Pelodiscus sinensis: one gene and its partners. The protein of the gene in region 2 interacts with the protein of the main gene of each other region in a biochemical or structural test. Links are inferred from orthologs where the notes say so. Each region holds a gene or a part of one and is shown on either strand. Other genes may lie near its edges. The genes, in order: CTNND2, DLG1, ADGRA2 and VANGL1.

Region 1 (8,277 bases), on a different chromosome or scaffold from region 2:
CAGGAATAAAGGGATTTCTTTGCTGACTACTAGCAGCTTTAAAGGGTATTTCATATGGCTTGTGCACAGCATAGTCTACTACTCTTATTTCCTTCCCTCCCCATCCCCCCTCAAAGCCTCTCTTATATAACAGATTGCAAACACTGTCTCTGAAGATGCGATCTTGGGTTTCTATAGTGAAGTTTTCAACATATCATGCTCCTCAAATAACAGTTTTAGGCCAGTGATCAAGTTCTGTTAATAATTATCTAGACATTCTCTCTTCAGCTTGCCTATTTACACTTGTATGCATACAAAGCTCTGAAAAGATAAACTCATTTACCAACTGAATAAGAGTTTCACAAACTTTGCACAGTGTTGGTCTCAAATAACCACCTGAGAATTTATAAAATGTGTACGTTTAGCGTATTTGCCACAGGTGTCCCAATCTTTTGCAAATAAACTGCTAACATAAAAGGATTTGTGCAAGCCCTCAAGCAATTTTGAGAGTCAAGGCCAATAAGGCATACCTTCAGCATACCTGTTTAAGCTTAACTCACTCTATGGTAAAATCGCTCTATTTACTGAGTAGTTTTAAGTGTGTTACCTGAATTGAGAAATTCAGTAGTGAATGTAGATCACTATAATTTTTCTTCCTCCTAGACTGGGCAACTTTCCCGACTTCCATTTAAAGTGTTCCACTGTATGAAATGAGTATTTAGGAGATGTTTTTCCCCTCAGTCTCTCACAGGCACATTCTGTAGGTTTAAATACAGTTCTACATGTTTTTTATATAGTTGTTTGTATTGGATAAGTCAATTCTTTCTTGAAAACAGAAAATCCCTCTAGTGTCTTGTAACACCTTTGAATGACTCTGCATAGTATACATACATGATGTATGAGGAACAAACTAAAATTATATTTTTTTCTCTTGACAATAGCAAGAATCACATCAGTGTTTTGAGATTTATGTAAACAAATGCAATCGTTGCAGTTCAGAAGAGTGAATACCTGGCAGTTTAATAAAGCCTACTCCTGTCTATTTATAGGAAACAACTGAAAGTTTCTGTGTTGAAATTAATCTCTAAGACCAATAGTAAATTCCTAAGCCCGAGTAAATCACGTCATAATATTTAAAGATTTAACAGAAAATACACAAGAGTGACCATACGTTTCAGTTTTGTTTCTCGCGTTTTGAATCCCTACCACTGAGCCCTATATTCAGGGGAAAACTTAAGACCGGTTTTAAAAATGATCTTTCCGTAGCATTATTCCTCCAAAAATTCCCAGCCAGATCAGTTTCCCCTGTCACACAACTATTATGGTGCTGCCGCACCTCCTCTATAGTGACTTGACTCAGTTGAGGCTACCTTTGAAGCAGTCGATGCAAGCACACTACACACACCAGAATAAGAGTAAGGAAATGAAAAGAAAAGCATCTTTCCTTTCAGCCATTAATTATAGATCAACCGAGTATCACCTTGCACATCACACGCCGATTTCCTCCCTCCCACCAACCCCCCCCCCCCAAAGCCGGATGTGTCACAGCCATCGGTTCCAAAGCAGAAAAGCCCATACTTATTGTCACCATACATATGCCCAAGAACCCGGCTGGCGGCACTGAAATCTCACGATTTGATGGCTCTAAATATAGACTCTCAGGGTTTCCAACGTGGGAAAGAAGCCGAAGAAGCGGACATGGGCGTATGACTAAGTATTTCAATTTCGGTCTGCAAGGAACAGAGTCACGGCATGGACCACAACAGCCCAGGACTACATGGCAGAGCAGGGTCTATTCCCCCCTCCCAGGATAGATTTATGACTTCAGTGCTGTAATGAGTATATCATTGCGGGGTGGCAGGGAAGCGAGTATTGCTGATGCCCTACATAAGCAGGCGACTAACGTATGGGGGGGGGGGGGGGCGGCAGAGGAAAAATACACTTTGTTACCTCTCCGCGGAAGGCACAAGCCATGTTTCCAGAGCCAGCCACAGCTGCCTTCTAGAAAGGAGAGGGGCCTTTGCAATGTGGGCACGACAAGCCAATGCTTGCTAGCAGCAGCGGAAGAAATAAGGCACGAGCACCATTACGATCGCAATTGCACTCACCGAACGGCGTCGACCCTGCCTGCTTTTTCCCAAGCATACACAGCGAATCCAAGGCAAATCCTCAAGCCGGTGGGGGCAAAGGGGGGGGAGGTGCGCGCGGCGCCCCCGGGTTTCAATTCAAGGTCCTGACCTTGCCCAGCTGCAGCATCCTTCTCTTTGTGCGGTGGGGCTGGGCTCCTCCGTGGGACAACTGCCTGGTGGCGGCGGCGGCTGCGAGGGGAGAGGCTGGCTCCACATCCACCGCCTGCTCGAGCGAGGCAAAGACTCGGCTTTCCTCCCCCCCTCTTCTCCGCGGCGCTGCCAGGCTCAGCAGCGGCGCTCGGGTGCAGCAGCGGCGGCTGCGGGGCACATCCGCCGCCGCCGACTGGGGCTGGAGACGATACAGGCACAGCTGCCGCTGCGCTCCCTTCTCCTCCCCTCTCCGGCAGGAGCGCGCGCCTGGCGCGGCTGAGGAGCCGGGCTGGGGTGGGCGGCTGCGCTCGCTCTCTCGCTCACTGAGACGCCGCCGCCGCCGCCGCCACCTGCGCCTGGCGAGGTGGGGGCGCGAGGCTCCTCCCGGGCAGCGTTCGAACACCGTCGGGTCCCGGGCAGGCGCGCGCCGCCGCCTTGCCGAGAGCGCCAGCAGCCGGGCTGCTGGGGGAAGATGGGCTCCTTGGCCAGGCTGGGCTCAGTGCTGCCGCTGCTGCTGCTGCCGCCGCCTTCTTCTTTGCAGCCTCGCACGGAAGCTGGGCCGTTTCCCTCCCTTCTCCACGCGCCCCTCCATGCCGTTCCCCCGAGGCAGGGCGTGCACGCCGCTTTGTTTGAAAGGGGGGCTTCGGGAGAAAGCGCAGCAACGCAAAGCCACGGCCAGCAACGTGAGGCTGGCCGGGGGCTTTGGAGTGGGCGCCAGTCAATAGCGCAGGTGCGTGTAGACAAGCAGGACACACCCGGCCAGGGAACAATGCGCTCGCAGGATGCCCGCGCTCATATACGGTTGCTGCCCATGGACCAGCGAGGGGAATGTGGGAAATGCCCTTGAGTTATCCTCCGATGGGAGAGCAGATGCGGCTGAAGCGTGGCTGGGCTGGGCTGCGCTGCCACCTGCTCCCTTCCCCAACACCCGCTTTAGCTGAGCTGATGAAAACTTCAGGTCAACTAACGCAAAGAATGGAGCGATTGCTTACAGCCCCTGCTCCTGTGTGCCTCGCTCTCCTTCCCCGCTACACTCATCCTTAGATGGCAAATCCACTTAAACAATTTCCAGGTGTCTCCTTCCAGACAAGCACAGCTGTTGAGGAAACACGACAGATATGTAGATGTAACTCCTTGCTAGCGGAAGAAACGTAGGGAAAATGCCATTGCAGCTATAGCCCAGCCCCTTTGCCGTGTATTTTCTGGAGCAAAGTTTTCTCGTTTGGAAAATATGTTGATCCTGCCTAGCAGCAGTGACCTAAGCACAGCTGTAACCATCAGCAAATCCATGTAGTCAGCTGAGCTGTCGGGGTGATGCCTGCATTTGATAACAGGTCTAAAGTCCCTGAATTCTAGTCAAGGAGAACTGCGTATCTAAGACAAGAAAGGGTTGGGTTTGGGGGCGTGGGGTGAGGGGGGGGGAGAGAAGAAGGACTTGGAGGGAGGGGACGAACTGTTTCCTTTTTTAAATCTTGATTGGCATCCAAATACATAGTTTAATTTTAGAACAAAGTCATTTAATCGATCTGTCAATAAATTGTAATTAGCAAGCACTTTCTTAGCAGATGTGAATTTCAAAAAATATATTTTCATACAGATTGAGCAGACTGTAATGAATGCCTCCAATATCAGATTTCAGAATGACTCATTGCTGCCACCTTTTGCCTGGTGATTTCCACTATTTTTCCAAACAATACTAAATCATGCCTATTATCAGGCAAGAAGAAGAGTGCTGTGTAAAATCTCACTCACAGAAGTTGGTCCACTAAAAGATAGTCTCACCAACCATGTCTCTCTAATATTTGGGACCCTCACAGCTACAACACTGCATACATTATTCTTCACTAACATGTTAGTAAAAGTTATTTCCTATATTAATATTTTGAAGTGATTAGAAGCTGTAATTTCAGATCATTACTTTTAATTCACATGAATTCCTGATGCCAATGTCATGATTCGTTCTTTGGAACAAAACATAAGAATGTCTATACCGAGTAAGACCAAAGGTCCATTTAGCCCACTATCTTGTCTTCTGACAGTGGCCAATGCCAGATGCCCTAAAGGGAGTGAACAGAAACAGGTAATCCTCAAGGGTATGTCTACTCTGGATGGCTATTTCAGGATACCAGACATATCGTGAAATAGCTACCCCACAACTATACAAGTTGCCAATTATTTTGAAATGTTTTTTGAAATAAATGGCACACTATTTTGGCATCCTGGTAATCCTCGTTCCATGAGAGTTAAGGGATGTCTCGAAACAGCATGCTATTTTGAAATTTGGCGCTATGTAGAGGTGCCAAATTTCAAAATAAGCAATTTCAAGATAGATTTGAAATAAGATATGCAATTTGCATAATACAAATTGTGTATCTTTTTCGAGTTTAGGCTAGTTTGTAGACACACCCTAAGTAATCTCCCTCTGTCATCCAATTTCATCCCCTGACAAACAGAAGCTAGTGACATTATTCCTATCCATTCTGCCTAATAAGTATTGATGGACTTAACCTCCATTAATTTATCTAGTTCTTTCTTGAACCCTGTTATATTCCTGGTCTTTTGGCAAAGAATTCCACAGGTTGACCAGGCACTGAGGAAAAAAAACCTTCCTTCTCTTTGTTTTAATTCTGCTACCTATTAATTTCATTTGGTGACCCCTAGTTCTTATATTATGGGAATAAGTAAATAATTTTTCCTTATTCACTTTTTCCACACCAGTCATTTTATAGACCTCTATCATCTCCTCTTTTCTAAGATGAAAAGTCCTAGTCTTTTTAATCTCTCTTCATATGGGACCTGTTCCATACCCCTAATCATTTCTGTTGCCTTTTTCTGAACCTTTTCCAATGCCAATGTATCTTTTTTTGAGATGAAGCTGTAAGGGAGCCTGGACAACCTCGTCTTGACCAGAATAATAATGTCTGTGGGGTCCGGCCCTTCATGGACTGGACTAGCGATGGCTGCCTTGACCAAAGTGAGGCTTCTTATAAGGCAAACCAGGCCTGATTTGAACCTCGTGCATGAAAGCACATGGGCCAGGCCAAGGGTTGACCTTTGAAAGTCAGGAGTGCGTAAACAATAGTGTGCTGTGTGTATTGGTATAGAGAAACCGTGCCAAGAACATTGGGAGTAACCCAGTACTGGGACCTAACAATGCTAATGAATAAAATCACTGATGCAGCCATAAAACTATCAGCTAAGTATAGTGTATTTTGATTAGCAGAATGTGTACAAAAGAGGGGCATACACAATCGATGATTAATTGGGAGATTTCACTAGAACGACCACGTCAAGTCTCGCTTTGTTATAAAATAAGGGTAGAAAAGGTAATCGGTGAGAGGTAAGGGGACCCCACTACCTTACTCGCTATAACTGGAAGCTGTGCCTGTTCCTACCAACTAATGTATTGTGGACGCCTCTGTGCATGGGGAAACAACAAGACCATGACCTCCCATCTGACAGTCATTTGAGAATCTGACAATCATCTGAGAATTTGACAATCATCTAATCATCTGATAATTGTAACGTCTTAGCGGTGGAACTATGTGTGTGTGATTTATAAAAATAAGTATCCTTAATATCAAGTATCTTGAGTATTGCCCTAGGTGTTATATTATTGTCTGTATTAACTATCCTGTGTATTGAAATAGATCTCTGTAACTGTGCACTGCTTTCCTTTACTATTCTGTGCATAATAAAGTTAACAAGAGTCTATCTGAGGTGTTTTTACTGGCTCCTCTCATATCCAAAAGCCAAACCACACGACAGAAGCGACCACATCTGTACACAGTATTTAAGATGTGGACATACAATGGATTTATATAGAGGCATTAAAATATTCTTTGTCTTATTCTCTATCTTTTTAAAATGATTCCTAGCAATACGTTTGCTTTTTGACTGCCACTGCACAACAGGTGGATGTTTTCAGAGAACTATACACAATGAGTCCAAGAACACTCTCTTGAGTGGTTATAGCTAAAATAGTCTTCATCATTTTGTATGTGTAGTTGGGATTATATTTTCCCAATGTGCATTGCTTTGCATTTATCAACATTAAAATTCATTTTCCATTTTGTTGCTCAATCACCTAGTTTTGTGAGATCCTTTTGAAGCTCTTCACAGTCTGCTTTGTTCTTAACTATCTTGAGCAGTTTAGCGTTATCTGCAAATTTTGCTACCTCGCTGTTTACCTCTTTCGCCTTTAGATCATTTATAAATGAGTTCAATTGGATTGGTCCCAGGACAGACCCATGGGGACACCACTTATTACCTATCTCCATTCTGAAAACTGACCATTTATACCTACCCTTTGTTTCCTGTCTTTTAACCAGTTATCAGTCCATGAAAGGACCTTCCGTGTTGTCCCATGACAACTAACTTTACGTAAGATAGATAGATATCTCGCGAGATCCACAACCTTCATACCAGACAGGCAAGTCACCATATGGTTCTCTCAGTCATCACAAACCCAGCTAAGTTGCTAATGATTGAATCTCCCATTACTAACTACTTGCCTTATCCTAATGACTGGAGTTCCCTCCCCCCAGAGATGAAGGGGGGTCCCAACTATGAGATTATTTCCCTCTGCTCCAATTGAATGTTCTCCTTCCCCGAGACTTTCACCCTCCTCAACAACACAGGGGCTGTCTGACCGGAGGTGGGACAGTTCTACGGTGTCTCAGAAAGCCTCATCTGTATACCTCTCTGTGTCCCTTAGCTCCTCCAGTTCAGCTAACCCTGGCCTCCAAAGTCAGTACATGGTCTCTGAGGGCCAGGAGCTCCTTGCTTTGAATGTACACATACGCCACCTACGTATACATGCTACATTGGGTACAATAAACAGGATAACCCGCACTCTGGTGCTGCACTTCTGCCTGCATTCTCTCCTGCCAATAATTAGATTATTGATAGGATTTTTATTTAGATCAGATGGTTTAGATTTAGATCAGATGGTTTAGATTTAGTTCAGTTTAAAAGAAGTTTTAAAGAATGCATCTAGCCCCCTTCAAACTCCCCCTCTAAACTTCCTCACAAACTCCCTGTTAGCTGTTCCTCTTTGCTAGCTTCCTGGTCGCATACTAGTACGCTTTATATAGCCCTGCCTTCCTGATAACCACACCCCCTGCTGAAGGCTTGATCAACAAACAGAGGGTTATAGGTTTCAAATCCTCCTTAAGATGCTCACAGCTTCTAACTGCTGGTCTCAGCACATGGTCCTGGTCAGGTAGTCAGTAATATATCCCTGCTGCTATATACTTATTATCAGGGCTCGCCGAATTGCAGCGAGCCCCGCTCGCCAACCACGCTGTCTGGTGATCTGCGCATGTGCAGCTTGCCCAAACCCGGCTCTTCCAGGTTACAATCTACTCGCCACAGGCAAGTAGATTGTATTATTTGTCGAGCCCTGCTTATTATTAGAGCATGGACTTACCATCTATAGAGATTCTATCAAACATTTTCGTTCATTTCAGATTTTGTTTTGGTATGTATTTTCATTTTGCTTCCATATTCACACTTCTGTCTTATTTGATTTCCCTTTTGCTATTTAATTAGCTAGTGAGGGATTATGGGAATAATATATTTTCTCTTTCAATTTTAAAATTAAAAATCAGAATTTAATATGAACTCTACCTTGACACTGTCTCATTTGCTAAGTGGCTTTAGCATTGGAAGAAGGACATTTGCTTCTAATGGATCAAAGAGAAAGAACCACAGAAGAGGACCATTAGAAATAAGATAACTTGGATAAGTGGGATCTCCAAATATAAAATGTGTGGTCCTTCTGCGTGACACTTTACAAATTAGAGTTTTCTCTAGCTCAATCTTCTAGATTCAAATCAAATCATTTTTCTTAAATTGTTTCTCTTCCCACCCACAAAGAGCTGTGTTGAAACTCCCCTTTCAGAGACTAGAGATTTTCAAAAGAACCCAAATGATTTAAGACTGTGAATGTAGGTCCCTTAGGAACACTTAAAATTCCATCTTTAATACTTTCCTTAACCACATTGATTAGTCCCTT
Region 2 (7,754 bases):
GCTGCAGGGACATGCCAGCCACTTCCAGGAGCAGCAATTCCCACAGGGATAATTACTCTAGCCGTGAAAGATTAGGTACTTTAGAACTCACCACTCAAAGAATTAAATGTAAATGTATGAGAAATGAAAATGATGAAATGCACAGACCAGTCAAAATCCAAAACTAACCCACTTTGCAAGCAGTAAAAGAAGTAACAACCTCCCACATGTGTTAGGTCGGGAGAGGAGAGTGAAGGACAGTGTGTTTGTGAAAATGACAGACACACACACAGTGTGTGAGAGTTACAGCGATTTGCACTGCCAAGCTCCCTCCATTCCCTTCTCTCTGTGTGGAGATGGGGTACGGGGGGGGGGGGAAGGAGGACACTCTGACATCAGCACCCCCCTTTACCCAACACCTTGCACAGCAAGCAGGAGGCTCCCAGGGGGCAGCTCCCAGGCAGAGGTCAGGAGCAGTATGACAGAGGGTGGAGGGGCAGGGCAGTTCAACTGCTGGCACGCGATAGCTTCCTGACCAAACCAGTCAGGATCACCTGTCAGAGGCGCTGTGGCGGGGAAACCGCTCCCCGCACTTATGTCCGCTGTCCGGCAGCTCCCAACCCTACAGGCGCCGCCGCCGCCTCTGCGAGCGGGGCACCAGCAGCACATGCGCAGCAGGGGGCAGGCCGCAAGCGGCAGACTCTAGAGCCCAGGGACGCCAGCACGCCAATGGGGCGGGGGCGGGACGCCGGGCCACACGCCCAAAAGGAGGAGGGCTGGGAGGAGCATGGGGGAGGAGAGCAGGGTCTGGCTGTGCTCTCACCTCCCACAGGTGGAGAGCTCGAGGGGCGGCGAGCGCCCGGGACGGCAGACACCAGAGAGGAGTGGGCCAGCGGCAAAGGAATGCCTCTGGGGGGGCCCAGGAGCAACGCAGCCCCCGGCAGATGGGCCGGCCGAGCCCAATTGTTGACAGCCCGAGGAACAGAGCGGGGAACGGACAAGCCAACGGGCCAGCTGAGACTGTAAAGCGGCCGCCATGCAGCAGCAGGGACACAGAGGGAGAGAGAGAGAGAGAGAGACTGAAGGCGGGGGTCAGCTGGGCTGGACTGGACAGAGCTTGACCCCGCTACAGGCTCCAAGATCTACTGGTAGATCCTGAGCTACTGGTTGGTGACCACTGCCCTAAACTCTTCTCCCCCTCCCCCCAGGCCTTGGCCACAGAGCCAGAGGATGGGGTGGGAGGGGAGACAAAGGGTCCCAGTAAGCGTGATGCTTAGCGAGTAATCGGTTACCCATTGACATCCTTATCCTGAAAGACCCACGCAACTCCTGGTAAGTCTTTTTGTATATCTATATAATCACCCCAAACCCAAAGCTTCCAAAAAGATGCTGAGGTGATAAATTTTTAAGTAGCTGATGCCATACAATATCTTCCTATCCAAGTACAAACAGATGAACAGAAGTATGGGCACTTTCAGCCCACTCAAATAGCACTGAGACTCCAGTCGACAGGTAATTTTTTTTCCCCTCCTTCTCCTATCTTATTCTGAATCCCCCCCCCCCCATTTTTCTTCCACTCAATCTCATCTGAAGAAGTGGGTTTTGCCCACTAAAGCTCATTACCATATATATATATATTTTTGTTAGCCTCTAAAGTGCCACATGACTACTCGTATTTCAAGTTGCAGACTAACACGGCTCCCCCTCCGTGGATTTTAAACATGCAAGGCACTACATTCAGCTGTCTGAAGTGGAAATCCATCAACTGCATAAGACAATTCACAGGGATCCAAACAGACATCATCTTCCTAGCCAAGTGCAAACAGAAGAACTGAAGTATGTGACACTTCCAGCTGACTCAGTTAGCCTCATTAGCACTCTAAGGTGCCACAGGACTACTCATTGTTTTTAAAAATTACAAACTAACACGACTACCCCTCAGACTTTCAAGTATTTGGAGACCTCACTTGTTAATACCCTCAAGTGAAAAGCTGAGTGTTTTTACTTTAAAAAAAATTTTAGATGATTTTGCACAAAAAAATTTTTTTTTAAAAAAAAATGTAGACATCTACCTATCAATGCCTGGAAAAGGTTGCTCTGGAAGATATTAATGACACGCTCTATGGAGTTTCTCAGCTGTCTGTCCTCATTTTGGCTCAATTTAGAGCGGTATTCCTCCAGGAGATACAGAGCCCGCTGGGTATCTGCAAATAAAAACAAAACAAAAAGTTAGAATTAAACATCACCATGAGGGGAGAGATAGCAGCTGCCCAATAGTGGTCAGTACAGTAGTTCTTGATATCACACGCTCGATACGCCACTTTCAAGAACTCTACCCAATTCATCACGAGTTCCTGACTCCCCGCTCCTGCTGCAGGTTCTTCCCCAAGAGGCAGGTGTCTCCAAGGCGGTTTTACGCGCCCACGGACACACGACGCTGCAGCTCCAGAGCCACCCGCCCCCGAGCGGACTCGTCCGCCGAGCGAGCTCAGCAACAAGCAGCCCGCTGCGAACTCCGCAGACACTGGGGGAGGCGCCGAGTCCCCGCGGCTGACCCCGCTCTCGGCACAAGCCGGGCCGCGCCGCGCGCGCAGGGTGACGGTTTCTCCCACCGAGGCGGTTTAACCGCCGCTTCGGTCCGCGCGGCGCGGCTCTCACCTTGCTTCCGGACGGGCATGGTGCGCCGCGCGCCGCTGGACTCGGGCGGGACGCGCCCTGTCGCCGCCCTCCCGAACTTCGCGCGGGGCACGGGCCGGCAGCCGGAGCGGAGCGGCGGGGGGCGCGCTGCTCGCTCCTGCCGGGCTCGGAGGGGCCTTGCCCCGCGCTCGAGGGCAGGACGGACCCGGACCCCGGGGTCCGGAGCGGGGCCGGGACGGGGCGGGGCAGCCCCCTCGGAGCTCGGGCGGGCGTCGCCAGGCAGCTCCGCCCTGGGAGCCGGCCGGGGGCCCGGGGCTCGCGCGCCCGACACTGCCGCGCGGCGGGGGCTGCTCGCGCGCTCCCTCCCGCCGCCTCCGCTGGAAATTCCAAACTTTCCAGCCAAAATGGCGGCCCAGCGGCTGTGGAGAGAGCAGCCCCCACGTGACCGAGCCCAGCGGCGGCCCAATCAGGAGTCAGCTCGGCTCGGGGCTGGTACCTAGTGGGGCAGGCAAGGTGAGCACTCGGCCGCTTAAAGGCGCCGTGGCCTGGGGAGCCGGCAGGGCCAGGAGCACGTGGGAGGCCCCGAACCAATGGACACGCCTCTCGCCAGGGGGCGTGGCAGTAGCTATGGGGGGCAGGCCTGCTGGGGCAGCTGCCCCACCCTGGCACCCAGACCTGGCTCACTACTCTGCCCTGCAGGCTTGTTGCGCAAGAGAACGGCCGCACCGCGCCTACATCTACATTGGCAAGACTTTGCGCAAATACCTTTAGCGCAAGAGTTTTTGCGTTAAAGTATTTGCACAGGAGAGCGTCTACACTGGCATGTGCCTTTGTGCAAGAGATGTGCTTTTGCCCAAAAGCATCCATGCCAGTGTAGATGCTCGCTTGCGCAAGAAAGCTCCAATGGCCATTTTAGCCAGCGGGCTTTCTTGTGCAAGCAATTCATGCCTGTCTACACTGGCCTCTTGCGCAAGAACACTTGTGCAAGAGGGCTTATTCCTGAGCGGGAGCGTCACAGTTCTTGCGCAAGAAGCGCTGATTTCTTACATTAGAACGTTAGTGTTCTTGCGGAAGAACTCACAGCCAGTGTAGACAGGCGGCAAGTTTTTGTGCAAAAGTGACTGCATCTTGCCAATGTAGACACAGCCTGCGTGTGCTTTTGCACAAGAGAAAAGATCCACACTGTGTGGACGGTCTTGTGCAAGAAAGGCTACCTGGAATCACTTCAGGCAGGGTAGAAGATCACCAGTTGCTTGGGAGTGTTTTCTGTAATGCTACTTCCTAGGCAATCACAACAACAGCCACACTGGGTCAGTCCAAAGGTCCATCTAGCACAGTATAATGTCTTCTGACAGTGGCCAATACCAGATGCTCCAGAGGGAATGAATACAACAGGTAATCAAGTGATCCATCCCCTGATACCCATTCTCAATTTCTGACAAACAGTGACTAGGGACACCATTCCTACCTATGCTGGCTAATAGCCATTAATGGACCTAACCTTCATCAATGTACTTAGCTTTTTTTTCAACCATGTTATAGTTTTGTACCTCACGACATCCTCTGGCAAGGAGCTCCACAGGTTGACTGTGCTGTGTTTTGTGAAGTACTTCCTTTTGTTTATTTTAAACCTACTTCCTATTGTAATTTCATTCGGTGATCCCTACTCTTTGTGTTATTTCAATATTGTTCATTTTAAATACTATAAATGACTATCTTAGAAAATAATTTTGTTAAAGATTTTACATGGGAATGTCACCTGCTTAATCACAGTCAAATTATAATCATGCTTTGTTAATTCTGAAGCAGCCCTGTAGATTAGCATGCCTGTGGCAATAATAGGCTATTTAAATTTTTTTATAGATTCCATCAGTTCTGCACATTATATTTTCAGATTGGCTCGAGACTTAGGACGTCTAGTGGTCAACATGCATGAAGAGATCAAAATTACACTGTAGCAGACTGACACTAGTGCCATATTTTGTAATTGACTTGTAAGATACAGCATTTTGTAAAATGAATGGGTCAAATTTCATACAGCTTTACAGCACTGTTTTTGGTATTCATGATGTGATAGTGTAAACAATTAAAAACATAAGAACAACCATACTGGGTCAGACCAAAGATCCAGCTAGCCCAGTATCTGCTCACAGTGGCCAATACCCCAGAGGGAAGGAACACAACAGGTAATCCTCACATGATCCATCTCCATTTCCAGACAGTTAACCGATGAGCTCCCTGCCAGCAGATGCTTCAGGTAAATAAAACATCCCAGCATGCCAGCAGCTTATCCTGATGGGCCAGGAACCAAAGTTTGCCAATCCCTGAAATACAGGATTGGCTTGTGAAAGGGTCATAGTATTTTGCCATTTTTACTTATCAATCTCAGGAGGTCAGCTTGTAAATGAACAGGCTGATGAAAGAGTTTATATAATAAGGTGCTTAAAACCAGCATTTTTCTTCTGCATACCAAACTTTCAAAGTTGTATTAAAAGTCAATGTTCAGTTTTAAGCTTTTGAAAGTGCCATGTGTTATTCAGAGTCACAAACAACTTCCATTCTAAGGTGTTCACCCCTCTGAGTTTTTACTAATACATGGGGACTAGAAATGTAATAGAAGAGTTTTATTGTGCGAAAGCCAAACAAGTTGTACAAAATAAACATAAGCAATCCGCAGCGGAAGAGTGGGTTACAGCAGTAACAAGAACTGTAGGTGGCTTACAAGCAATCGACATAACCCACCTTGTCCCGGATACAAGTGAGGAAGTGATTAAACTATAGTCCATACACAACCCCAGGGGCACCCCACCCCTTCACTCGTGAAGCAGAATAGAATCTCTGTCTCTGAGTGTAGACTCTATATCAATGGGTGGAGTTTGCCCCACTGGGTGGATCACTCCTTACTACAGAGCTCTTCAATCCAGAAGGCAAAGATTTAACACAATCAATTCCTAAATTAAAGCTAGATACATTCAGACTGCAAATAAGATGTCATCTTTTTAACAATGATGGTAATTCACTATTAGAACATCTTGGGTTTTCCATCACTGGCTATTTTTAAATCAAGATTGGATATTTTTCTGAACCATCTGCTCTAGGAATTTTTGGAGATGCTTTGTGACCTCTGTTATATAGGAAGTCAGATTAGATGATCACATTGGTCCCTTCTGGCCTTGAAATCTATGAATCTACAATACCAGGAGGAACATGCATGCAGGAAAAGGAAGAACAGATGCTGATGAATAGTGCTGGGGGGGGGAAATCAATGCTAAAGCCAACATGATGGATCAACAAACTAGGACGCAATTATTCAAACCACATTGCACCTGAGAAAGTATTGCTAAGTTCCCATCATTTCTATTTCTTCTGTAGGAATAGACTGATAGGGTAAAGTGATGCCAGTGTTTCTAGGAGTAACTAGAACATGAAGAGAAAATCTTCAAGAAAGGAAGAGTGAAATTTTATTAGCATGGTTCGAGTGGAATTCTATGCTGTGCCCTTTAGAGGTGCAGTGCAGAATTCAGTCAGAGGGAGAGAGAATGAGGTGGCTTTAACTAAGCCACACCTTTGCAGCCCCCTTCCACCAGTTCTGGGTTGTTTCTGGGGCTGAAGATACTGTAATTTAGATACCTCTGAGGACTTCTCTAAGTTAAGCCACCTCATAGGGCAAGAATCTCTGCAGTGCTATGACCCTATTTCTGACACACCGTCTCATCCCAGGCCTATACACTATGCCACGGCTTGCACGCAGTTCTTAAGGATGCTTTGTGGCTATCTTCCATAGATACTAAGTTACTTAACATGACACAGTCCACTATTTTATAGAAATGGTCAACATTCATTGCATCCAGACATATGATCTTACTTTTGCGTGTATTAAAACACATTTTGTTTCAATAAAAGCAGATTCCCACGCAATCCAAATTGCTTGGCATGACCACTTCATCACGCTTTGCGTCATCTGTAAATTTAATCAACAGTGATTTTAAATTTATGTGATGATCACTAACAAAAATAGTAAATAACATTGAGGTTAGTACCACTAAAAATATCACCCATTTGACAATGGTTTTCTATGGATTTTTACTATTTGTTTATTGAGATTGTATAGTGCTGACTTCTTCGAGGAGTATCCCGGTGGGTGCTCCACCTTTATCTTGAGGTGCCACTGCGCGCCTACTTGGAGATTTACAGTAGCAGTGCCTTCTGGTGAGCCGCACAAACGGGACAGGCGGCACGCATGGTGTCGCTGCCACGCATGTGCGGCAACAGTCCCTTCAGTTCCTTCTCTACTGCCATCGGTGTCGGTCGGAACCGCAGTTGCTCTCCTCAAAGAAACAGCGCCCCAAACTGCTGATGCTATTCTTTGCTTTTGCACTCCTCTTACTGATTCTCTATCATAAACTTTCGATTCCAACACTTGCATACAAATAAGAATAAAACTATTTGGGGCTGAATTATGCTCCCAGTTACAGGATTGCAACTCCAACTGAACTTGCTGGAAATGGCAATTATATAACTAAGGCTAGAAATTAGCTCTTTGTCTGCAGTGAGAGCTATTGGACTTATGTACCACTAATATCCCTGATATAGAATCCTAGGGTTGGAAGAGTCATCAAGTCCAACCCCCTGCTCAAAGGAGAACCAACCCCAACTAAATCATCTCAGACAGGGATATGTCAAGCCAGTACTTAAAGCCCCTAGAGATGGAGATTCACCACCTCCCTGCGTAACTCATAGACTCATAGACTTTAAGGTCAGAAGGGACCATTATGATCATCTAGTCTGACCCCCTGCACAGTGCAGGCCACAGAATCTCACCCACCCCTCCCAGAATAATCCTCTCACCTATATCTCAGATATTGAAGCCTTCAAATACTTTGAAGACCCCAAGATGCAGAGAATCCTCTAGCTGTGATCTGTACCCCATGCTACAGAGGAAGGTGAAAAACCTCCAGGGCCTCTGCCAATCTATCCTGGAGGAAAATTCCTTCCCGACCCCAAATATGGCGATCAGCTAAACCCTGAGCATGTGGGCAAGACTCATCAGCCAGACACCCAGAAAGTTCTCTAGTAATTCCTATCATCCCTCCATTGACCTATTTCCCACTGATAATGAATGGTCAATTAGTTACCAA
Region 3 (7,348 bases), on a different chromosome or scaffold from region 2:
TTCTAGCACACAGGCTAAACCAGGGCCGGGGGGAATCAAGGTACGTTAGTGAACAGAACCCCAAACGTGTCAGGCACAAGGACACCGTGACCCCACTTCCTCTGCACTTGAACAAGCCAATCAGCCACTGCATGAACACGTCACGGCTTTAAAAACAAAGTCCCTTCTTTTGGAATCAAAACCACCCAACACGCACCATGCCACTAACTACTAGCAGCTCCGAAATAAACGGGATCCAAGAGTAAATCCGAACCAGAGTTAACACCCAGAACAAGAACATTGCTCGGCTTTTAAAAAATTGCTTCCCCCCACCCCCGCCTGTGTGCTGGAGCATGGAAAACACGTCCTGACCTACAAACACTTCTCCACACGCTTGACTTTACACCCGCAGTCTCTGGGATTCCAGTAAGACAAGTCACAATGTGTAAAATGGAGCACAGGCCTAAGTCTTTGCAGGATTCACACACATGCTTAACATCCCAGTCCCAGTGGGCAGTCCGGGTGAACCCTGCTTCCTGCACGTATGGCTAAGCATGCGCAAAAACCTCGGCAGGATGAGCGTAAAGTATCATTAGCATTGCCTTGAACGATGGCGTGGAGGTTCCAAGGACTTTGAAGAAACGTTTCAACTATGAGACCTCTTGTGTGCTTACAAAACACACCAAAAACCAAGCGCTGCGATGAAAAGACAGTGAAACTTTTAGAAATATCCCAACTTTACGCTGCCAAAATCAGACTGAGGTGGGGGGAGGGAGTTATTTTAAGAAACATGCGCGCTGTTATGATTTCCAGGAGAAACCGTTGTTTTCAAACAAAAGCTCTCTGTGTAAAGCGCCAGAGATTGCCAAAGGAAACCGTGGAAATGAAATTGACGGTAAACCAAAGTGAAACTGATTTCTCTGATTTTCAGGCCAAGTAGGCCTGAGGAACTTTGCCAATAGAGTACACAGGAAACAAGACCCAGCAGGATTCAAGGCCTGCTGAAATCAACCAGCCTCTTTCCACTGGCTTTCAGTGGGCTCTCAAATGGGGCCAGAAAGAGGCCTCGCCTTGTTAGCCACTTTCATTCTTCTTAACGCTGACCTGGTAGGAACAGGGCTCAGGCTGATTCTGGCCAGGGGTGCACAGAATGACAGAAAGAGCCCTCAGGAGTCATCAAGTCCAGCCCCCTGCCCAAAGCAGGACCAACCCCGACTCAATCAGCCCAGACAGGGCTTGGTCAAGCCCGGTCTTAAAAACCTCTAAGGATGGAGATTCTGCCCCTCCCTAGCTTCCCCCCTTTCCTAGCTTTTCCTAATATCCAATCTAGCCCTCCCCCACTGCAACTTGAGCCCATTGCTCCTGTTCCGCCAGCGCTGAGAACAGCCTCTCTCCATCCTCTCTGGAACCCCCCTTCGGGGAGTTGCAGGCTGCTCTCAAATCCCCCCTCGCTCTGCTCTTCTGCAGACTAAACAAACCCAAATCCCTCGGCCTCTCCTCGTAGGTCATGTGCTCCAGCCCCCTCAGCATTTTGGTCGCCCTCCGCTGGCCCCTCTCCAATGCGTCCACGTCCTTCCTGGAATAGGGCCCCCAGAACTGGACGCAATAAAGTCAGTGGCGCTACTGGCCTGAGCCCAGGCTACGAGATGGGGCACAGCGTGGGCACCGAGAGCTCGGAAGAACCAAAACACAGCGGAAGCCAGAGTCACTGCTGGACCATTTTCTGGCCTCCCTCCATGGCGCCATGTGACATGTCCCAGCTGGGCGAGGTACGGCCGCCCGGGCCCTGGCTGCTCGAATATGCGCTCCCCACTGGTGCACGCTGCCCCTAGGGGAGCACCCAGACCTCAAGGCAGCAGAACGCAGAGAGCACCAGCTCCCACGGTCACCCTGAGCCGAACTGCTGGGAGGGAGATTCTGAGCAAGGAATCTGGGGTGGACAAGGCCTCTGTGGGCAGGCTCCCCTGCAGCCTGGCAAGGAGGGCCATGGCAGGGCTCCTAGCCACTCCGGCAAGCAGTCCGCCAGGTCTTCCCAGTCACACACCTGGACGCCCAGCCCGCTCCCTCCTCCAGGCAGGGCCTGGCCCCTCGTTATGTGGCTTGGAAGGGGCGCCGCCGTACAGCCCTCCACACACAGCCGACGTTCCACGCCGTCCCCTCGGGCTCAGGTTGCGGAGTTCCCACACGGGGAGGGGCGGGGACCCTGGGGGCCAGTCGGTCTGGGTGTGTAAGGGGCAGGCAGGGGGAATCGGGGCAGGGGCTCTGGGGCAGAGGGGGCGCTGCGGGTGCAAGGGCAGGCAGGAGCGACCGGTAGCTGTCAGGGACGTGGTGGGCGCTGGGGGGTTGGCAGAGGGCGGGGACGCTGGGTGTGTGTGTGGGGGGGTCATCCTGGGAGCGCAGGGAACCGGCAGGGGACCCACGGGAGGCATTAGGAGGCAGGCAGAGAAGGGGGCACGCTGCGTGTGGGGGGGTCGTTCCGGGTGCGCAGGGGACCCAGGGTGCGCGCTGCGGGGCGGGATGGGGAGGCAGAGGCGGCTCGCTCCGGGTGCGCGGCTGGCAGGGGCGCTGGGGAGCGGGCGCTCGCTACTCACAGGGTGACGGTGGCGTTGGGCACCAGGCGCGGGTCGGGCGGCTCCCGGAGCTCCTGGCTACTGCAGACCAGCCTCCTGCGGGCCGCGCCGGGCGGGCCCAGCCCCTTGGGCCGCTCCCCCGCGCACTTGCAGCCGGGGGGCTGCGCGGGGCAGCTGCGGGCTCCCCCCGCGCCCAGCCAGGCGGCCAGGCAGAGCAGCCCGGCCGCCCAGCGCATCCTGCCGGGCGCGTCGGGGCTGGGGCGCACGGAGGGTCCGGGCGCAGCGGGCGCCCTAGAGCCGGGGGCCGGGCGCAGCCATGCAGGGACCCGGCTCCTCCCCGGGCTCGCCGGCCTCACGCCCCGGCCGCGCCCCGCGGCTCCCCCCTGCCCCGCGCCGCTGCGCCCCGCGGCATCTCGGGCGCGCCGGGCCGGCAGCGGGGACGGGTCCGGCCGCTGCGCTCGGGACGGGACCTAGCGGCTCTGCGGCGCCTGCCGCCCGGGTCCCTCCCCTGCTCAGCCAGGCCCGGCTGCGGGGCCCTAGCGCCTCCCCGCTCCTGCCTCCGACTCCCCCGCACAGGAGCCGCCGAGCTCCGCCAGCTCCCCGAGTCCCGCGCGCTCCCCTCGGGGCCAACTCCGGCCTCCACGCCAGCTCCCCCCGGGCACCCCCCGACGTCCTCTCCTGCCCCCTGAGCTCCCCTGGGGCACCCAGCTTCCCCTCCAGCCCGCTGGGACTCATAAGCTCCCCCTTGTGCACCAGCTCCCCAGCCACTGGGTCCGAGCCCCGCGCTCTCCCCGAACCCCTACACTCCCCCTTGGAGCCCAGCCTCCCGCGCCTCGCTCGGGGCGCCCAGCCTCCCCTCTGACCGGCTTAGGGCAGGCGGCCTCCCCCCGGGGCACCTGACCTCCTCTCCAACGCAGCCTCCCTCTTGGCACCCAGCCTGCCTGCTCCAAACCCCTGGGGTTCAGGCATCCCCCGTCCGCACCAGTGCCCCCCCCCGCCTCCTTCCCAATCTCCAGGCTCCTTGCACCCACTTAGCCATGGCGCCCGGCCTCCTGGACTCTTACCCCCAAGTCCCGGCCAGTGCTTCTGGAGGGAGGCTCCGTAGGGGGGCACAGGGGCCCTTCCCCCCCCCCCACACCTTGTGCTGAGCTCCTGGAGGACGCAGCCCTGCCCCAGCTCCGAGTCCCAAGCCAGGAGTGGGCACAGGTGGCCTCCTGCTTCCCAGGCCATGGCTGCTGGGCCTGGCTCCCAGCTGGGACCAGGACAAGTTTTCCTTGGGAGGGGGCCTCCTGCATCTGCATTTGCAAAATCTGGGGAGGGCTCAGACTCTGAGCCACCACTGGGCCCGGGCAGCTTGTCCATCCTGGAGCATTTGATGGAGGCTACGATTAGAGACAGGAAACCACAGAACCCACCTCTTGGCAGGGCAGGGGATGAGCATCAGACTTTGAACCTGAAGGGCCAGGGTTTAAATCTCTGGCCACACATTGGACGTTTTTCTTCACGCAGCGCGCAGTCAACCTGTGGAACTCCCTGCCAGAGGATGTGGGGAAGACCAGGACTTGAACAGGGTTCAAAAAAGAACTAGATAAATTCCTGGAGGTTCGGTCCATCAATACTGATTAGCCAGGCTGGGCAGGAAGGGTGTCCCGAGTCTCTGTTTGCCAGAAGCTGAGAATGGGTGATGGGAGGGATCACTTGATGATTCCCTGTTTTGTTCACTCCCTCTGGGGCACCTGGCATTGGCCACTGTGGGCAGACAGGACACTGGGCTGAATGGACCTTTGGTCTGACCCCGTGTGGCCGTTCTTGAAGCCCACCCATCTCCCAGGGAGACACAAGAGTTGAGCCAATAGGCCACAAATCGGTGCTGGTGCAGCCTTCTGGGGCCAGGTGTGGGTTGAGTTGCCACTGAGGCTGGAGTGTGAAGGTGGCACCAAAGATTCAGGCAATCTCCCTTGGTTGGCTATTTCACCATCCTGGGGCATCTGCCAGCCACAGCCCCAAGTCCCAGAAGGCAGCCACCCCCACCCCCTCCTGCCTGGCTTCCCACCCCGCCTTATCCAGCTGGTACCTTGCCCTGCTTGTCCCACGTCAGGGCTGGGGTCTAGTTACACACCCACGTGCTGGGAGAGGCGGCTGGCTCCATGGCCCCTCGAGAAGCAGGCCGTGGAGCAGGGCCTGCATGCGGACGGAGATACCAGTGTAGGCCCAGTGCCCATAATCTGCTTTTAAGGTTTCGCCATGAAGGCTCAAAGCACAGAAGAGCTGTGATCTCACTGAGCCTAGGGGGAGCATTGAACTTCCCTAGCACCCCTCCACCCACCCCAGGAAGCAACCGAAACTGGGCCTGCCGGGGACTCAGCTCCTGGGGCCTGGCAAGCAGATTTGCACCATTTCTGGGAGTGTCCCCCAATCTCCGTGTCAGTGTCTATTCGAAACAGCTGCAAGCGAGAGCCAGATCCACGCAGGGGAGCCCTCAATTGCAGCCTCTCGGGGCTGCCTCCAGGAAACTGACTGGGAGAGGCCCAGACAAAACCAAGAGCCGCTTCTGGAGGATCCAGGCCTGGAGGGGAAAGCTCCTTCGCGCTGACTCCTTGCTGGTAGCAGAAGGAAGGAATTGGGTTTCTTTGTGACCTGATTAGAAGGGACCCTGGAGCTTGAACACCACCACCCACAGCAGAAAACCAGGGACTGCGCTACGCCGGCCCCGCAGCGCTAGTTCCGGACACCGGAGGTATCCCCGCATGGCGAGTCCGTGTCTTTTGCACGTGCCTGCTATTTCGAAATACACCAGACTCGCATATTGCTCAGATTGCGTCTCTTATTTCGACCTGTGGTGCGGTTATTTCGAAATTTGACGCTGCCTACACAGCGCTCACGTCCACAGAACCCGCTGCTCCGGAACGGCCCTTGCTCCTGGTGGAAGGAGGTTTACGGGGATGTCGGAAAGCGAGCCCGTTGCATTTCGAAATGACAGGCGCGCTCTAAGGACGCAGGATAGCCTTTTGGGGGCTACTTCTGGTGTCTGGAAATAGCGCTGCAGGTTCGACCCGGCCTTACGGTGCCCCGTGCTTCCTGCCACCCATTTGAGGAGACAACTCGGGAGCACAGAACGACAGATCCCGAAGCAGGCAAAGACTTGGATGAAGGGATTAATTAGTGTCTGGAAAAGCCAGCCTGATCGTGTCCGTCCTCACGCAGCCAGCAATTAGGGCCCAGTTGCAAGGTCTCTCCCAGGGAAATGGCCTCATACGGATCTCCCCGAGGAAATTGAGGCCACTCACACAAAGAGGCGCAGTGTATGCACTGCCCCGGGTTTGGTGGGTGGCCTGGCCAGTCAGAACGAGGCTCTGTCCCACCCATTTATGCTGCATCGCCTTACTGACCCATTTCTCTCCTCCGGGGAGCCGGGAGGGGGAGGAGGCTGCCTGCACTAACCCACACCCACCCTTGCTGGGAGCCAGAGCCAGCCTGGCACGGAGGCACGCCCGGCCTTTCCTCTCGGAGGGCCACGTGTTGGAGCCAGCGGTTGAAAGGGGCTGGCAGCTTCTCCCGCCCCTGGAGCCGGGACGTGGTCTCCAGAGCAACCGTGCCCCTGCGCCCGTTCTTCTGAATTTCAGCTGCCTATAAAGCGAGCCCCGCCACCGGACAGCCCTTGTCCAAAGCCAGAATCAATGCGACTAGCCAGGGCCAACCCCACTAGCCAAGAACGGTTTGCCAGATGCTCTGAGCGCTGCATCCGGGTTCTTTCCGCTGTTGGCGAGCCCCGCTGAGCTCTTCCAGACCAGCACCCAGCCTGAATCCCCGCCCTGCCGAGGGAACTTCTCCGATGCTGCAACATCACCACCGCCCGAGTGGCCGGGGCGCGGCCCCCTCTCCGCTCCCAGCCTCGAAAGCAAAACCTCCCGGCTTTGACTCAAATCAAAGCAGAAGGGTCTCCCGGGTCGGCTCGTGTGTGTCCAGTACAAACCTCTGACCCTGGCTTCCGCTGAGGAATTCCGAGCCCCACGAAATAAACAAATTTCCTTCCGCCTCCGCCGATGAAATGTGCAGCCCCAGGAGAGCCCATCGGGACCCCCCCTCGGCCCAGGCAGCCGCGAAGGCCTTGAACCGGCTGGGAGCATTCGCAGCTTCGATTAGGCAGGACAGTGAGCGTTTCCGCCTGTCCGCAGGTGCAACGTGGGCTGTGCCGGGGGCTCCTGTCAGACCGGCTGCCTCCAGCCACTCGCTGCTCTGCCATGCTGCAAGGACCAGCCGTGGGGAGATTGCCAGCCCCCCCACTCAGCCTATGGCCAGAGATTCAGGGCTCTTTCTGGCTTTCTCTAGCAGCAGCGCATCTGTCCAGCGCTTCACCTTCCCACCCCCCACTGCAAAGCTGAAGACCTGGCTCCCAGGGAGGTGAAGGGACTTGCCCAGTGTCACAGGGGGAGTCTGTGGCAGAGCAGGGCCTTGCACCTAGGGCTCCTGCCCTGCCTCAATGGTAAAACTGCCCTAGCTGCAGAGAGAGTGAAAATCGAGTTATCCCCATTTTTCCAGGCTTCTAAAGCGATCTGGGGGCAAGTGCCTCTTGGAGCTAAGCTGATCCTCTCGCCCTCCTCTAAGGCCTGCTCCCAGGGTGCACGTGTACAGAGGCCAGACCTGCAAGAGGGGCCTTGTGGGGACCTGCAGGAATGCTGCAGGGGAACCCCCCTCACTGCTACCAACCCCACGGGCGGGGCAGAACGTCTCGGTCCCTGTGAGCAGCTCCCCGCTGGCTACAGCCTCCCTGCCCCGCCCGGGGGCCCAGCGCGGCGTGA
Region 4 (7,366 bases), on a different chromosome or scaffold from region 2:
CTGCACTAGGCAATGCAGTATGGGAAGGAGGTGGGCAGCCCTCAGTGGAGAAAGAACAGGTTAAGAACTATTTAGAAAAGCTAGACATACACAAATCCATGGGTCCAGATTTAATACATCCAAGTGTACTGAAGAAGTTGACAAATGTCATTTCAGAGCCTTTGGCTATTATCTTTGAAACTCATGGAGATCGGAAGAGATCCCAGATGATTGGGAAAAGGCAAATATAGTGCCTATCTTTAAAAGAGGGAAGAAGGACAATCCAGGGAACTACAGACCAGTCAGCCTTACCTCTGTCCCTAGAAAAATCATGGAGGGGATCCTCAAGGAATCTATTCTGAAGCACTTGGAAGAGGGGAAAGTGATCAGGAATAGTCAACATGAATTCACCAAGGACAAGTCATGCCTGACCAATCTGATTAGCTTCTACGATGAGGTAACTGGCTTTGTGGATATGGGAAAGTCAGTGGATGTGATATACCTTGACTTTAGCAAAGCTTTTGATATGGTCTTCCACAATATTCTTGCCAGCAAGTTAAGGAAGTATGGATTGGATACATGGACTGTAAAATTGATAGAAAGCTGGCTAGACTGTCGAACCCAACGGGTAGTGATTAACGGCTCAATGTCAGGTTGGCAGCTGGTTTCTAGTGGAGTGCCCCAAGGATTGGTTCTAGGGCCAGTTTTATTCAACATCTTTATTAATGACCTGGATGAGGGGTGGATTTGTATCCTAAGCAAGTTTGTAGATGACATTAAGCTAGGGAGAGAGGTAGATACATTGGAAGGCAGGGATAGGGTCCAGAGTGACCTAGACAGATTAGAGGATTGTGCCAAAAGAAATCTGATGAGGTTCAACAAGAACAAGTGTAGAGTCCTGCACTTGGGACAGAAGAATCCCAAGCATAGTTACAGGCTGGGGACCACCGAACGTTTAAGTAGCAGTTTGGCAGAAAAGGACCTGGGGATTACAGTGGATGAGAAGCTGGATACGAGTCAACAGTGTGCCCTTGTAGCCAAGAAGGCCAATGGAATATTAGGTTGCATTAGAAGGAGCATTACCAGCAGATCTAGGGAAGTGATTATTCCCCTTTATTCAGCTCTGGTGAGGCCACATCTGGAGTATTGTGTCCAGTTGTGGGCCCCCCGCTATAGAAAGGATGTGGTCTCATTGGAGAGGGTCTAGTGGAGGGCAACCAAAATGATTTGGGGGCTGGAGCACATGACCTATGAGGAGAGGCTGAGGGATTTGGGCTTATTTAGTCTGCAGAAGAGATGAGTGAGGGGGGATTTGATAGCAGCCTTCAACTTCCTGAAGGGAGGTTCCACAGAGGATGGAGAGAGGCTGTTCTCAGTAGTGAGGGTTGGCAGAACAAGGAGCAATGATCTCAAGTTACAGTGGGGGAGGACTAGGTTGGATATTGTGAAATAGTTTTTCCTTAGGAGGGTGGTGAAGCACTGGAATGGGTCCCTAGTGAGGTGGTGGAATATCCATCCCTAGAGGTTTTTAAGTCTCCACTTGACAAAGCCCTGGCTGGGTTGATTTAGCTGGGATTGGTCCTGCTTTGGGCAGGGGGCTGGACTTGATGACCTCCTGAGGTCTCTCTCAGATCTATGGCTGTGTCTAGACTGGCAAGTTTTTCTGCAAAATCATCTGCTTTTGTGGAAAAACTTGGCAGCTGTCTACACTGGCCACTTGAATTTCCGCAAAAGCACACACGATCTCATGTAAGATTGTCAGTGCTTTTACGGAAATACTATGCGGCTCCTGTTTGGGCAAAAGCCTTTTTCTGAAAAACTTTTGCGCAAAAGGGCCAGTGTAGACAGCAGAGATTTCTTTTCCCGCAAAAAAGCCCCGATCGCGAAAATGGCGATCGGGGCTTTTTTGCGGAAAAGTGCGTCTAGATTGGCCACGGACGCTTTTCCGCAAAAAGTGCTTTTGCGGAAAAGTGTCCTGCCAATCTAGACGCGCTTTTCCGAAAATGCTTTTAACGGAAAACTTTTCCGTTAAAAGCATTTCCGGAAAATCATGCCAGTGTAGACGTAGCCTCTGATTCTATATATTTCAGATACAACCTGTGGCATTACTCAGGGAAGAGGAGGACAAAAAGGGATGCATATAATCTACCATCCCCCAAATAACATCACAATAATCTTGTGCCCTGTGTTAACATATGACCATGTAGTCTATGCTCTAAAAAATTATTAAAGTGAAAGTATGGCTACAGCACCAGAACTGCGAGAAAACTCTCCCAACACTGTGTAAATCACTTAAATGAGGAGAGTAGCTAACAGTGCTGGGAGCTCAGCCTGTTTACTTGTGCTCAGTAGGGTGTTTTTTCACACCCCTGAGGGACAAAGATTTAGAGAAGTGCCAGTGTAGACATGAGTAGCATATCGTCTTACTTTAAATATAGTCTTATTTTAAATGACAGAATATTTACTAGTAGTTAAAGCACACAGTAGGAAGCCAGGAGATATCGATTCTATTGCTTGCTCTGCCATTGAAAATTCTAGGCTATGTCTACACTGCAGGCTTCTTGCTCAAGAATTTTTTGCACAAGAGTTCTTGCGCAAAAAGGTCTTGCGCGAGAGCGCATCCACACTGCCATGTGCTTTTGCGCAAGAGCATCCATGGCAGTGTGTATGTTCTCTTGCGCAAGAAAGCTCTGATGGCCATTTTAGCCATAGGAGTTTCTGGTGCAAGAAACTCCTGGTTTTGTCCACACTGCCTTCTTGCGCAAGAGCTCTTTTGCAAGAGGGCTTATTCCTTGTGGGGAGAGGAATAACTCTTGCGCAAGAAGCCTTCTCTTCTGATGCTTTACTGTAAATTTACTTGTGTAAGATCACGCATGCAGTGTAGATGCTCTGCAAGTTTTTGCACAAGAACAGCTGTTCTTGCACAAAAAGCCTGCAGTGTAGACGTAGCCCTACAGTCTAAATAAGACAAGACAAAAGGGGGAAACGGAGGCACAGAGCGGTAAAGTGACTTAGATCACAGAGGTCAGTGGCAAAGCCAGGAATATAACACAAGTCTCCTGACTCCCTGTTTAGTGTCCTGTCCACTAGACCACAATGGCTACCCACCAGACTAGGAAGAAGAAGCTAGACAAGGCAAGCAGGGAGAGAGCTCTGCAACTGCAGGGCTTATTTCTTGTCCTTGGTCACTTCCCTCACCCAGAGTTATTCTGTGCAGCCTCTATTGATTTATTGGATTCCTTTAAAGAGCACTGGGTGCTGACTGGACTACAGGTCACTGCAGCCTCCTGGCATGTGTGTCCATAGTGATTAATTGAGCCCTGGGTGGAGAGGGCTGATCTTGTAAGAGGGAATATTGCAAGAGTACTTGAAATGGATGCAATAGAGTGGAGGTGCAAGAGGTTGAGATGGGAGTGAGAGGATTTAGTGTGGGAACTGGGAAGGACTGGTCCTCAAAAAGGTGGGTGGGTGGGGAGGTGTGTGTAGGAGCCGGGTGCTGAATACATGGTGGCAGTGGTGAACGTAACTTCACATTTCTTTTAGGCACTGTCCTACTACAAGCTCGGTCCCTGCCAGCTCTTTCAGTAGCTCCCTGCTGGCTTTTGCCCCAGCTCTTGCCACTGTTAGGCTATGTCTACACTTGCGGCTTCTTGCGCAAGAAAACGTCCACGCTGCCACATGTGCGCTGTGCTTTTGCACAAGAGTGCCCATGGCAGTGTGGACGCTCGCTTGCGCAAGAAAGTTCCAACAGCCATTTTAGCCATAGGGTTTTCTTGCACAAGAAATCCCTGCCGAGTGTCGACACTGCCCTCTTCCGCAAGAGGGCTTACACCTGTTAAAAAAGAGCGTCGCTCTTGCGCAAGAAGCCCTCTCTTACCACGCCGGACTGTACATTTCCTTGTGCAAGAGCGGACTGGCAGTGTAGACGCGCTGCAGATTTTTGGAGTGTAGACATAGCCTTAGAGCGGAGCACTCATGTACTTACACGGCTGGAGGTTGGGATCCCTGCGGGGAGCTTGCAGTAGGTCCCAGTGGGAGAGCGACGAGCGGGGGGGGAGGAGAGGCAGGAGGCTGCGGGGGTGCCAGGTGGCGGCCTCAGCACTGGAGGTGCTTCGGGGAGTGTTGTTGTGGGGGGTGCTGGAGCGGGGTGGGGGTGTCCTTGGCCGCTCACAGCAGATGGGGGGGGGGGGGGGTCTTGCAGGGGGCGGTCCCTGCAGGCGGGGCGGGCTGCAGCGGGCGGGGCGGCGCCGGGCACAGGAAGCGGAAAGCGGCGGGGCTAGCGACTGCAGCGGGGCTGGCGCCGGGAGCAGCATGGAGCGGCCGCGAGAGGTGGGTGCGGGCGGCCCGGCTCCCCCTGCGGCTTCCCCGGGGCCCCACCCTGCACGCGCCCCCCTCCCCTGCCGCCGCCCTGCACGCGCCCCCGGGGCTGCCCCGCCGAGCCGCTCCCTGCGGGGTCCTGCTGCGGCGGCTCGCGCCCCGCTCCCCACGCGCGGGGCAGCATCCCCGGGCACGGAGGCCCTGCCCCCCCCCGCAGTCCCGCACCCCCCAGCCGGGCCTCTTCTGCCCCGCCACGGGCGTGCGCTCTGCCCCCTCTCCCAGGGGCGCCGGCCGGCATGGGCATGGCTCTGGGCTGCGTGCGAGCTCGAGCCTGTGTCTGGTGGCCCCGGGGGCTTCACTCTGGCAGGAGTCTCTCTACCTCCGTTGAATCGGAGTGGGGGGGGACAGGCGCGGGGAGGGGGGGGGCTTGCAAGTCCTAGCTCCCAGCGAGTGCGCTTGTTAGTTCCAGCTCCTGGCTAGTAGGTGCCTGATCCCCGCCCCTTTTGGGCACCCCGCGCACCTCTCCCCCCCCCCCCCCACAGCCTCCTGATTACTGCATGGGTTGCCCAAGCCTCTGTTTTCTTGTTCGTCTGCCTCTGCTGCTCAGAGCGTTCCCATGTGTCAGCATGCATCAGATGAGCGTCTTGTCGTTTGGCACGGCTGCCCAGAGTCCTGGATAAAAGCAATGTGCAGAACTGGGCTCTCGCTAACTTCAGACTATGTGCCGCGGCCCAGGCCCACTGGGGCTTGCCAGCAGACCTGAAAAGACTACAAGATTGCCAGGGAAAGCTTCCCACTCGTGGGAATACATTTGTAAAGCCCCGTGTGGGAAGCAAAGTAATAATGGATTAATAAACAAGTGAATTAAAGCTGAGTTCAGTGCTCCTCAAATATATCTAGTTCCCTGGATGATGTCCATTGAAGTTGTTTAAATTCCAAGTCCTGCGTGTGGGCAACTGTAGGTGTGTGTATAAGACACAATTTGCAAGTAAAGCATAACGTGATTTAGTTATACAGAAGTTGGTTTGATCAGGTGGTCTACTGTGACAATTCATGACTACACAGGCCTGTGTGGTTGCCTGTTCTTAGACCATGGCGATTTAATAACCTTTAGGGAACAGAAATAAGTCTTAACACCCTTCTGCTTCAAAAGCATAGGCCTGCATCTGGGCTGCAGAGGACTGGCACTCCTGTAGTTTTTAGCAACATAGGGTGTGATTGTGTCCCTGCAGAGGACAAAGTTACTACTTTTGTCAGTTTGTTATATCAGTTGTGAACTTTGAATGACCGGAAAAAAAAAAAAGAGAGAGAGAGAATTAATTCCATTGTTTAGAATGTTTACTTAATGGTTCGAAATAACATTCTTGCTCCAAAGGCTGGGCTCTTTAGCTACGTGTTTCCTGAAGATGCCAGTGTCAAGGTATCAGCCCATCTAAGGAGGCCCAACTAACAATTGTACTGAGTGCTAGAATATCAGTTGGGGGAATAGTTTTGATTAGTGGGAGATTTTTTTTTTTTTTTTTTTTTTGCTGTTCGGCTTAGTTATTCTTGCCTCAAAGTTGCTGTGTATTTAACCTTCTAAGAATTTGATTTTAAACAGGCTTGCCTTTTTTCCCCTTTTTGTGGTTTGAATATATAACTGGCTGTGAAGATGGGACCAGTACTGGTCCTACAGGAATTGATTATCTATCTATTTTTAAGATGAACAAATCAGAATTACAGAAAACCTCCCGTTTACAAAAACAAAACAAAAAAACAAAAACAAAACCCCATTTACAAAAAAAAAAAAAAAAAAAACGCCTCCCATTTACCAAAAAATTTTGCAAGTCAAAATTCTGGAATGCTTTCCAGCACACGTTCAGCCACACAGAGAGGTAGCTAACGGCCAATGGCTATCCGCCAGGAACATGAAAGCTATGCAGATACAGAGACTACCTCTAAATTAGTATTCTGCTGCTAAATTGCCATGTTTGCTACTGTTCTTTCACCTCTGCCATTGGTGGGAAGGTTAGTGTAGTCAGGGCTCCAGATAGTGACCAGTATTCTAAGCACCATAACCTCCGACACTGCTCAGAGCATGTTTGCATGAAATAAATTGTCAGAATGCTAGCAGCTGCTAGTGCCTTGTTGATTTAGTTCTCCCAAAAGAAGAGGAAAGGGCTGACAGGGTACTACTGTCAAAGTAATATGTTTGGGAAATAATTCCTTCCTTTCACTTCAGGTTTGCTGTCCCATGGAGATGATTAGAGGGATTTCACACTTCTTTTTGGTGTAAATCCTACCCTTCCTCCATGGTTTTTAAGGCATTACAAAGCCCAGTTCTTTCCCCCAAAAGGATGGGGGAGCTCCTGCAAGAGATCCCAGGTTGTGGAGCCCAACTAGATTGCTCTGTAGGGATTTGAGTTTGGGATTGTAGTTCCACTGACTTCCATCCCCTCCCTTGAAGTGTAAGCAGTGCAAAGGGCCCTACAGGGTAGGGCAGCTCCCCGAAGAGTACAAACAGACCTCTCAATTGTTTTCTAGAGTCTCAGCTTTTATTTGGAAGAACCCCCAAAAGTCTAGCTGTTAGAGAACTTTGAAAACATGACCTTAATATTGCCAATGCAGATTAGTATACCTGCATTTGCCAGGGGCCTGAAACAATGGTTCCGAGATTGAACTGCCCTGTTTGTTTTAATGAACACAAACTCGGAGACCAAGATGCTTTAAATGACAAGTGTTCACTATGTCACTGCTCATGAAAGCATAGCCTTCACAATAGGATATAACACCAGAGTTTCTTAAAGTGTTGGTTGTTGTGGGGGGTCCCCTTCCAAGGGGCCCACAAAAGAGTAGAGGCATGGGGGGCATAGAGGATGTAAAAACTAAGAGGTACAGGCTCAACTTCCAAAAATTTGGAGAAGGCTGCTGTAGCCTTAGAGCTGGAGGAGGAGTCACAAGGAAGCTCTGCTGCTAGCTACAGGTTGCACATCTATAAACTAGAACTCTCTGGTCCAGCAATGCCGGACCACAGATGTCCAGGATCAGAGAGACCTGGTGCACTGTGGAGACATGGGGGACTGATAGCCCA

The links.
Region 1: the proteins of DLG1 (region 2) and CTNND2 interact in a test that uses a peptide from one of them, tested with the Homo sapiens proteins (2 studies listed by IntAct, with this or other methods). The link is inferred for Pelodiscus sinensis from reciprocal best matches to the Homo sapiens genes DLG1 and CTNND2.
Region 3: the proteins of DLG1 (region 2) and ADGRA2 form a complex in vitro, tested with the Homo sapiens proteins (2 studies listed by BioGRID and IntAct, with this or other methods). The link is inferred for Pelodiscus sinensis from reciprocal best matches to the Homo sapiens genes DLG1 and ADGRA2.
Region 4: the proteins of DLG1 (region 2) and VANGL1 interact in a test that uses a peptide from one of them, tested with the Homo sapiens proteins (2 studies listed by IntAct, with this or other methods). The link is inferred for Pelodiscus sinensis from reciprocal best matches to the Homo sapiens genes DLG1 and VANGL1.

The regions. Positions count from the first base shown.
Region 1 is NC_134712.1:134,176,771-134,185,047, reverse strand, and holds the start of CTNND2 (catenin delta-2), read right to left. Parts: upstream 3,067-8,277; 5' UTR 2,125-3,066; coding exon 2,088-2,124; intron 1-2,087. UniProt on the Homo sapiens protein: Has a critical role in neuronal development, particularly in the formation and/or maintenance of dendritic spines and synapses. Involved in the regulation of Wnt signaling.
Region 2 is NC_134720.1:55,447,219-55,454,972, reverse strand, and holds the start of DLG1 (disks large homolog 1), read right to left. Parts: upstream 3,073-7,754; 5' UTR 2,657-3,072; coding exon 2,638-2,656; intron 2,184-2,637; coding exon 2,052-2,183; intron 1-2,051. UniProt on the Homo sapiens protein: Essential multidomain scaffolding protein required for normal development. Recruits channels, receptors and signaling molecules to discrete plasma membrane domains in polarized cells.
Region 3 is NC_134738.1:14,951,708-14,959,055, reverse strand, and holds the start of ADGRA2 (adhesion G protein-coupled receptor A2), read right to left. Parts: upstream 3,031-7,348; 5' UTR 2,786-3,030; coding exon 2,571-2,785; intron 1-2,570.
Region 4 is NC_134711.1:143,780,582-143,787,947, reverse strand, and holds the start of VANGL1 (vang-like protein 1), read left to right. Parts: upstream 1-4,225; 5' UTR 4,226-4,308; intron 4,309-7,366.